Linked DNA regions of Rhinolophus ferrumequinum. The protein of the gene in region 2 purifies or fractionates together with the protein of the main gene of each other region. This does not show direct contact. Links are inferred from orthologs where the notes say so. Each region holds a gene or a part of one and is shown on either strand. Other genes may lie near its edges.

The links. The genes of interacting proteins can lie anywhere in the genome.
Region 1: the proteins of BAG2 (region 2) and DNAJB1 purify together in Homo sapiens (affinity purification with mass spectrometry; 4 studies listed by BioGRID and IntAct, with this or other methods). This does not show direct contact. The link is inferred for Rhinolophus ferrumequinum from reciprocal best matches to the Homo sapiens genes BAG2 and DNAJB1.

The regions. Positions count from the first base shown.
Region 1 is NC_046301.1:47,640,492-47,644,240, forward strand, and holds the start of DNAJB1 (dnaJ homolog subfamily B member 1), read left to right. Parts: upstream 1-942; 5' UTR 943-1,053; coding exon 1,054-1,264; exon of another isoform or gene 1,265-1,308; intron 1,309-2,370; coding exon 2,371-2,948; intron 2,949-3,643; coding exon 3,644-3,749. UniProt on the Homo sapiens protein: Interacts with HSP70 and can stimulate its ATPase activity. Stimulates the association between HSC70 and HIP. Negatively regulates heat shock-induced HSF1 transcriptional activity during the attenuation and recovery phase period of the heat shock response.
Region 2 is NC_046286.1:24,058,655-24,062,403, reverse strand, and holds the start of BAG2 (BAG family molecular chaperone regulator 2), read right to left. Parts: upstream 2,912-3,749; 5' UTR 2,756-2,911; coding exon 2,643-2,755; intron 649-2,642; exon of another isoform or gene 1-648. UniProt on the Homo sapiens protein: Co-chaperone for HSP70 and HSC70 chaperone proteins. Acts as a nucleotide-exchange factor (NEF) promoting the release of ADP from the HSP70 and HSC70 proteins thereby triggering client/substrate protein release.

The sequences.
Region 1 (3,749 bases), on a different chromosome or scaffold from region 2:
TACCCCTTTCTGAGCCTCCTTTCCCAATCAGCCCTGTCCTTGACCACAGGCACCTCAGACTCTCAGAGCCAGAAGGAATCATGTGCCCCATAGAAGAGGAAACAGAGGCCCTAGAGGTGTAGGACCCACCCATGTCCCCCCAAATCATAAAGGTAATGGAGAAAAAGAAGCAGGTGCATTCAAAACAGCCAGAAATATTTATGAAGTGTCCACTGCAACTGGGTGCCAAACACTGGAGGTGGGAATCACAGGCTGGGAGGCAGGTGACATTTAGCATGAAAACCACGGAACAAGATAATTTCAGATTTTATTGGCAGGTGTTCTTAAGAAAACGGTGAAGTGAAAGGCCTGAGGAGCGCGACTGGGAAGACCTCTCAGGGAAGTGACCTTTGGTCCCTAGTCCTCAGCTCGCTTTACAGAGGGACCTGTCTGATGAAAACAGGCATAGTCCTAGGACTCCCAATTGCACTCTCCCCATTGCAGGGACAAGAAGGCGGGTGGGTATTTTTATTCCTAGAAGGGGGATCTGGGACAGAAAGACATTCACCAACTTGCCCAAAGTCCTTGGCCGGGGCCCGACCCTGTGAGATGCGAGCCGGTAGGTACACCTCCTCCGGGGAAGGGGCGGGGCCGCCCTTCCCTAGCAGTGCGTCGAAACCTCTTGATCCACGCAGGGGGCGAAGCGCGCGGCAGGGGTCATCCCGGCCATCCCGGACAGTGCAACCAGGTCGCGATTGGCAACTCGCGCAGGGTGGGCAGGGCCTTCGAGGTGCGCGCGCCGTGGGGAGGCGTTGCCGAGGACCGAGCGGGAAGGGGCGTGGCCACGCGCGGACAGCCGTTGGCGGCGCGGCCCCCTCCACGAACGTCAAGCGTCGCGGGCTGGGTGGCGACGATTGGTCGGTGCGGTGCAGGGGGCGGGGCGGAAGGCTCTGGAGGGGGCTGGCGGGCTCTGGAAGCTTCCGCCGGACGGGTATATAGAGTCTGGGACGGGGCGGCGGCGGCGGCGGAGCTTGGGGACGGCTACAGCTGGGCGGCGGACCGCAGGCGTGGGCCATGGGCAAAGACTATTACCAGACGTTGGGCCTGTCCCGCGGCGCGTCAGACGAGGAGATCAAGCGGGCCTACCGCCGCCAGGCGCTGCGCTACCACCCAGACAAGAACAAGGAGCCCGGCGCCGAGGAGAAGTTCAAGGAGATCGCCGAGGCCTACGATGTGCTCAGCGACCCGCGCAAGCGCGAGATCTTTGACCGCTACGGGGAAGAAGGTGCGTGCGCGCGCGGCCGGGGGCGCGCCCCCGCCGTTTGACAGGTGGGGAAACAGAGGCACGGCGGCAAGGCTGCAGCATCCCGGGGGGGCGGGGGGTGGCTGCCCCAGGCGGCGAGCATCCCCCGCCCTCTGGCCATGGGCGCCTCCGTCCTCGGATTGGCAGCCGCCGGATGAGAGGTGGAGCTCTGGCCGTGCCGCTGGCGCAGAAGCTTCTAGCATGTCAGAGGCTGCCCCTCCCTGGATGCTTCCGCCCACGTCCCCGATCGCCCCCGGGTGCGGATGGAGAAGGGAACGGAGGCTTCTTCAGCTAGTGGCGCTGCGTACCCCTGGCCCCAGCTCACCTGGGAGAGGTGCGGGGCCCCGCCACGCAGGGGTGCAGGACGAGGCCTTTGGCTGATAGCCGGCCACCACCTGCGTCCAGTGAGACTGCAAAGGGGACCGCCAGTTGTCCCTTATCTCCCTCGTGGGCCCCTGGAGGGCAGAGTGAGCTAATTCCTGTAAAGTGCTTACCCAGCCCCGCGCCGGGGAAGCAAATGGCTGCCAGCGCCCACAGTGGCCGTCCAGGTGCAGGGAGTGGAGGGGACCCACTCTGCCCAGCCTCGTAGGGTAGCTCTCCTCAGGAAAGAAAAAAGGAGCTTTCCTTTTTGTCCAATTGCCCGTGGATGACTCACGCTGGCTTTTGGGCTTGGTGTTAACAAATGAAGTGACTTTTCACATAAGGATAATGGCAGCGGTGCCAGGGTGTGAGAATTAGAAAGCTGAAAGCTGGCCCTGGATGTGCGTTTTTCATCTGATCTCAGTGAATTCTTTGTTAAGTCTTTGTATTATTGTCGGGAGGGTAGGTCAGTGAAGAAGTGGCAGGATGTGGGTGGGCCCTAAAAAAAGTCATGTCAGAGCTTGAGCTCCCTCACCTCTGCTTTGCCATACTGAAGTACTTGGATAGGGAATCTGTCTCTGCTGCTACTGTGGGAGGTAAAAGCTCAGGTTCTTCCTTGTTCTTTACTGAGAGGCTAAAAAAATTTCTCTTCCAGTGACCCCCAAGCACTTTTCCCTTAAGGAAAGCTTTTGGCCAGTCCTCTGACTTCTTGGGATTTTGTCTTTCAGGCCTAAAGGGCGGTGGTCCCAGTGGTGGGAGCAGCGGTGGTGCTAATGGTACCTCTTTCAGCTACACATTCCATGGAGACCCTCATGCCATGTTTGCTGAGTTCTTCGGCCGAAATCCATTTGACAACTTTTTTGGGCAGCGGAACGGGGAGGAAGGCATGGACATTGATGACTCATTCTCTGGCTTCCCTATGGGCATGGGTGGCTTCCCCAACCTGAGCTTTGGACGGTCTCGCCCTGCCCAAGAGCACACCCGAAAAAAGCAAGACCCCCCTGTCACCCATGACCTTAGGGTTTCTCTCGAAGAGATCTATAGCGGCTGTACCAAGAAGATGAAGATCTCCCATAAACGTTTGAACCCCGATGGGAAGAGCATTCGCAATGAAGACAAAATCCTGACCATCGAAGTGAAACGGGGGTGGAAAGAAGGGACCAAAATCACCTTCCCCAAGGAGGGAGACCAGACTTCCAACAACATTCCAGCCGACATCGTCTTTGTTTTAAAGGACAAGCCACACAATATCTTTAAGAGAGATGGCTCTGATGTCATTTACCCAGCCAGGGTCACCCTGCGGGAGGTAAGGCACTAGGTGGGGCAGTGTCTGTGGAGGGAGATAGCAGATAGCGCTTTTTGCAGCAGTTTGGGGTTTTTTTTTCATATCTCTCTTAATTTTTTTTTTTTTTGGGTAACAGTGTTTTCTGCAGGACCCATGAGCTCCAAGCCAAGTTGTTGTCCTTTAGTCTAGTTGTGGAGGGCGCAGCTCAGCTCCAAGTCCAGTCGCAGTTTTCATTCTAGTTGGGGGTGGGGGGGGCACAGCACACGGCAGGGCCCTCCTTCAATTCCATGTGGGAATTGAACCGGCAACCTTGTTAAGAGCTTGCGCTCTAACAAACTGAGCCATCCGGTTGCCCAGCGGCAGTTCCTTGTCTTTAATGTAGTTGTGGAGGGCATAGCTCACTGGCCCATGTGGGAATTGAACCGGCAACCCTGTTGCTAAGAGCTCATGCTCTAACTGAGCCATCCAGCTGCCCCGGTATTTGTTTAACAGCTATTTCTGAGTGTTTGGTGCCTCCAGACTTGGGGGTGCGGCAGGAGCAAGGCTGGCCAGGACTCTGTTTTTCAGGAGCTTTCATGCTGATGACCTGGGTAGATCTGGAGGGCAGGGCCTAGCTACAGAGGTCTGATGGCTCTTACTCTACCCAGATAGTTTCTGGGCAGGAGTGGAGCTTCCTAAGGTAATCTCCATCTAACACTGTCACTTTGCTTTCGAAGGCTCTGTGTGGCTGTACTGTGAACGTCCCCACTCTGGAAGGCAAAACCATACCCGTCGTGTTCAAAGATGTCATCAGGCCAGGCATGCGGCGAAAAGTTCCTGGAG
Region 2 (3,749 bases):
ATTTGTAGACTGCTGCCAAACATCTTAAAGCATTTTAAACATCATGTACACCTGTTCAAACTCAATGACATAATGCATTTAGCATAATTCTGTTTTCAGTTTCATACAGAAAAAGTTTCTACCAAAATTGACAAAATTAGTACTGAAAAGGAACTATAAATGCAAGGTTCTAAGTATAAACTACAGTGGTACCTCAGTTTTCAAACGTAATCCACGAGTTCTGAAATGTTCGCAAACAGCCGACAGCTAGGCGCCTCAAGATCTTGCACTCAGCGGAAGCCGTGTGACATATTCGACTTCTGAGTTGTGATCGAAAATCGAAGCATTTACTTCCGGGTTTACAGCGTTCATAAACCAAACTGTTCGTCAACGGAGACGTTGGAAAATCGAGGTACCAATGTACTTAATACACTGCTTTATTAATCATCTTTAATATGAAATTAACAGTTTTCTAGTTTTTAACAATGTAGAGCTCTGTGACACTGTCCCTTACTCTAGTTTTCAATACTGTAGTTCTCTGTTACATTATCCACGTGGTTTCAAATAAACTTTAGTGGATGGGCATTCGCATTTTCTCTATTTTTACTTACTTTCTGAAACAGTTCCTTAGTTTTTCGGTTAATATTATTAATACTTACTTTTTTTTAATTAAAGTTTATTGGGGTGACAATTGTTAGTCAAGTTACATAGGTTTCAGGTGTACAATTCTGTAATACATCATCTATACATCCCATTGTGCATTCACCACCCAGAGTCAGTTCTCCTTCCATCACCATATATTTGATCCCTTTTACCCTCATCTACCACACCTTTCCTTCAATATTACTTAAAGAAAGCAAAGCTTACAAAAGTTTAAAATTACGAGAAAAGTCCTTAAAATGAACATATTAATCAGTCTTTCCTCCTCAGCTCAAGGGTTAAAAACGTTATATTTTAATGACCTGTACAGAGTCATCAGAATTTACTTTATATTAATCAACATTAAAATATAATAATACTCAAAACCAGAGGCTTTTAGAGATGAAAACTTGACTGCATTTGTACCTATCACACACAGAAATTATTCCAGTCTGAGGACAATGACTCAGCTTGAAGACGGAGGGGCAACACCCTCACTGCTTTAAAGAAAAATACTTTCTGATTAGGGGAGAGAGAGACACCTGATATGGTTGAGAACATGCCCTCAAAGTTCTAAAGACCTGGGGACATGCGTGTGTTGCTTGTTATGCTTTTATATAAAAATAAACATTCTTCAGAAGGACAATACATAGCTGAGGGCACTGATCTCTAGTTTTGCTCCACTTTCTCTGGGGGGGGGGGTGGGAGTTGATGTAAAAATATTAATGTTAAAAGTAATGGGGAAACATTACTTTTGTCTCATTCCATTTGTCTCTTTGAGCAGAATCCAGAATGTGGTTTTGGCTCATGTTTGTCTAACAGCTGCCATCCATGAAATCATTGTGGGTGGAGTTTCTCATATTCTCACTCCTTTCTTGTGGTAGTAATAATAATAAGTGCCTCATTTGCTAAGATATACTGTGGTTGTTAATACACTTCCTTGGAAAATAGACACCTCTTCTTGCTTTGGTATATTAATCGATGGAGATACAGACAGTGCAATGCTTCTTAAAATTTCTGGCTCACATACTCCTATACTCACCCAGAACCTGGAGAAAATTATGAAAGAAAATTCTGTGTAGTTTCTGGGAGTTGTGGGTGCGTTCATAAGATTTTCATTTAACTACATCTGCACACAATTTACACAGTAACTTTAGTGACACAAAAGTTTATAGGAAGTACATAAAAGTTTTTCATACACTGTTAAAGGAAAAAAAGTACTTCCAAAATTTAACATAAATTATTTAGAAATTCTATACAAGCCTACCACAATGTTAATCATTTACTAAAATCTTAATCAGTTAAGAGGGAATAACTGTGACTATCTTATGCTTTCAGGCCAATGTCTAGCACTTTCAAGATGTCAGCACAGTGTCTACTATGGAAGGAGACTAAAGTTAGTGCTGAATACAGTATGTGGGGTTATGGGGAAAAGGGAAGCTGCGGTGTCTTTATTCCACAAAGTACATAGCTATCCTTCACCCAGCAGCCCATTTGTCCTTCTTCTCTCTAATCCCTACTATCAGATGGATTCCTGCATTTTTACACTTTTTTTTTTTGCTCTGAAGTGTTCTGGAGCAAAGAACTGATCAGTCACATAGGGGACCGCTAAACTACTGCTTCTCTTAAAAATGCATAATAGGAAAGTAAGTTAAAAACATTTGGGAAGACCGTATACCGGCACACAGAAGGTTCTAGAAGTTCTGTAGACTCGGAGTGTCACTGTCCCTAATCTCAAATGACGTCACTGAACTTTTATCTTTCCTTATTTTTCTCCGCTCCCAAACGTTCAGGTCTGTCAAGGAACATGTGGCCGCCAATAACGCGCTCACAGATTTTGCTTAAGTCGAATGCGTTTCCTCTCAAGCGAGGAAAGGAAAATCCACCATGAAAACAAAACTGCACCATCTCCATAGAAAACAAGTCCCAAGCAAGCAGCTCCCCTTGCTGCAGCCTGCCCGGGGGCTGTGCCCGGGCCGCCCCGCCGCGCACGGCCCCGGCCAGCGAACCCGCCGCCGCCTCACCTGAGCTCCAGCTGGTCCAGGCTCTCCAGCAGGCGGCTCGAGCGGTCGGCCATGGAGGAGGAGCGGCAGAAGCGCCCCTCGTTGGCTTTCGCGTTGATCTTCGCTTGAGCCATCTGAGCCTCTGAGGCGGGGCGGTCGAGAGGTCACCGGCCTCTCCGGTGGCTGGGAGTGGAGAGCTCCCGCGGCCGCAGGCGTCGCCGTCACCGCGCGGGGCGCCCGCCTCCCTCTGACGCCCGCGGGGGGCGGCCCGACAGGACGCCAATACCGCCGCTGCCGCGTGGCCAAACAAGGACAGGCGCGCCGCGCGCCCGCGGGGCTCGGGGGCTGCAGAGCCCGCTAGGGGCAGCTGCCGCGGCTGCGGGAGGGCACTAGCTGTCACCGGGGCTCGAGGATGGGCCCTTAGGGTTAGGGGGCCTGAGGAGCAAAACCAGGCGGCCTCTGAGATACCTGGAAGGACGAACGCACCAGGCGGAGGCCCTACCGTGATCCGCGCGGGTCCTTCTCTGCGGACCCTGGAACCCAAACCGATGCGGAGAAGCACAAAACGCCCCGCCCCCATCCCCGCCACCCCTACCTCCGTGAGGCGTCGATTCTCTGTGCAGCCCCCGCCAAACCACCTCCCTACACGCTGAGGGACCTAACGGTAAGCTGTGGATGTGTTACTCGGTGATGGCTTCGCTTAATTTCTCCCAGCCCCCGTAATTCACAGCAAACACCAAAAACGTTAAGTCCATGGATATGTGGAGAAAAGGTCCCTTTGTGAAAAGCCATTTAGTACAGTTCCTCGTCAGTCCATACTTGCTTGACCTGCCCTGTTACCACTTTCCAGAAATGAGAATGATAGCCTGATAACACCACTTAAGGTATAAGGGAAAAAAGAAAAAGTGACCCCATCTTTCTCTTTCCAGCTGGATGTAGGAAGCAAGGGAATTTATAATAATACTTCATTTCTACCCATTCTAACAAAGGAATTTTTAATGAGTTTTTTTCCTATTAAAAATGATTTCGGTTGGAATTTGGGTGAAATAATTGGTATGAAGGCCATTTCACACCCAATTTATGTAAATCTGTCAAGAATGAAAAGATGCAATAGATCACTAGGTCAGA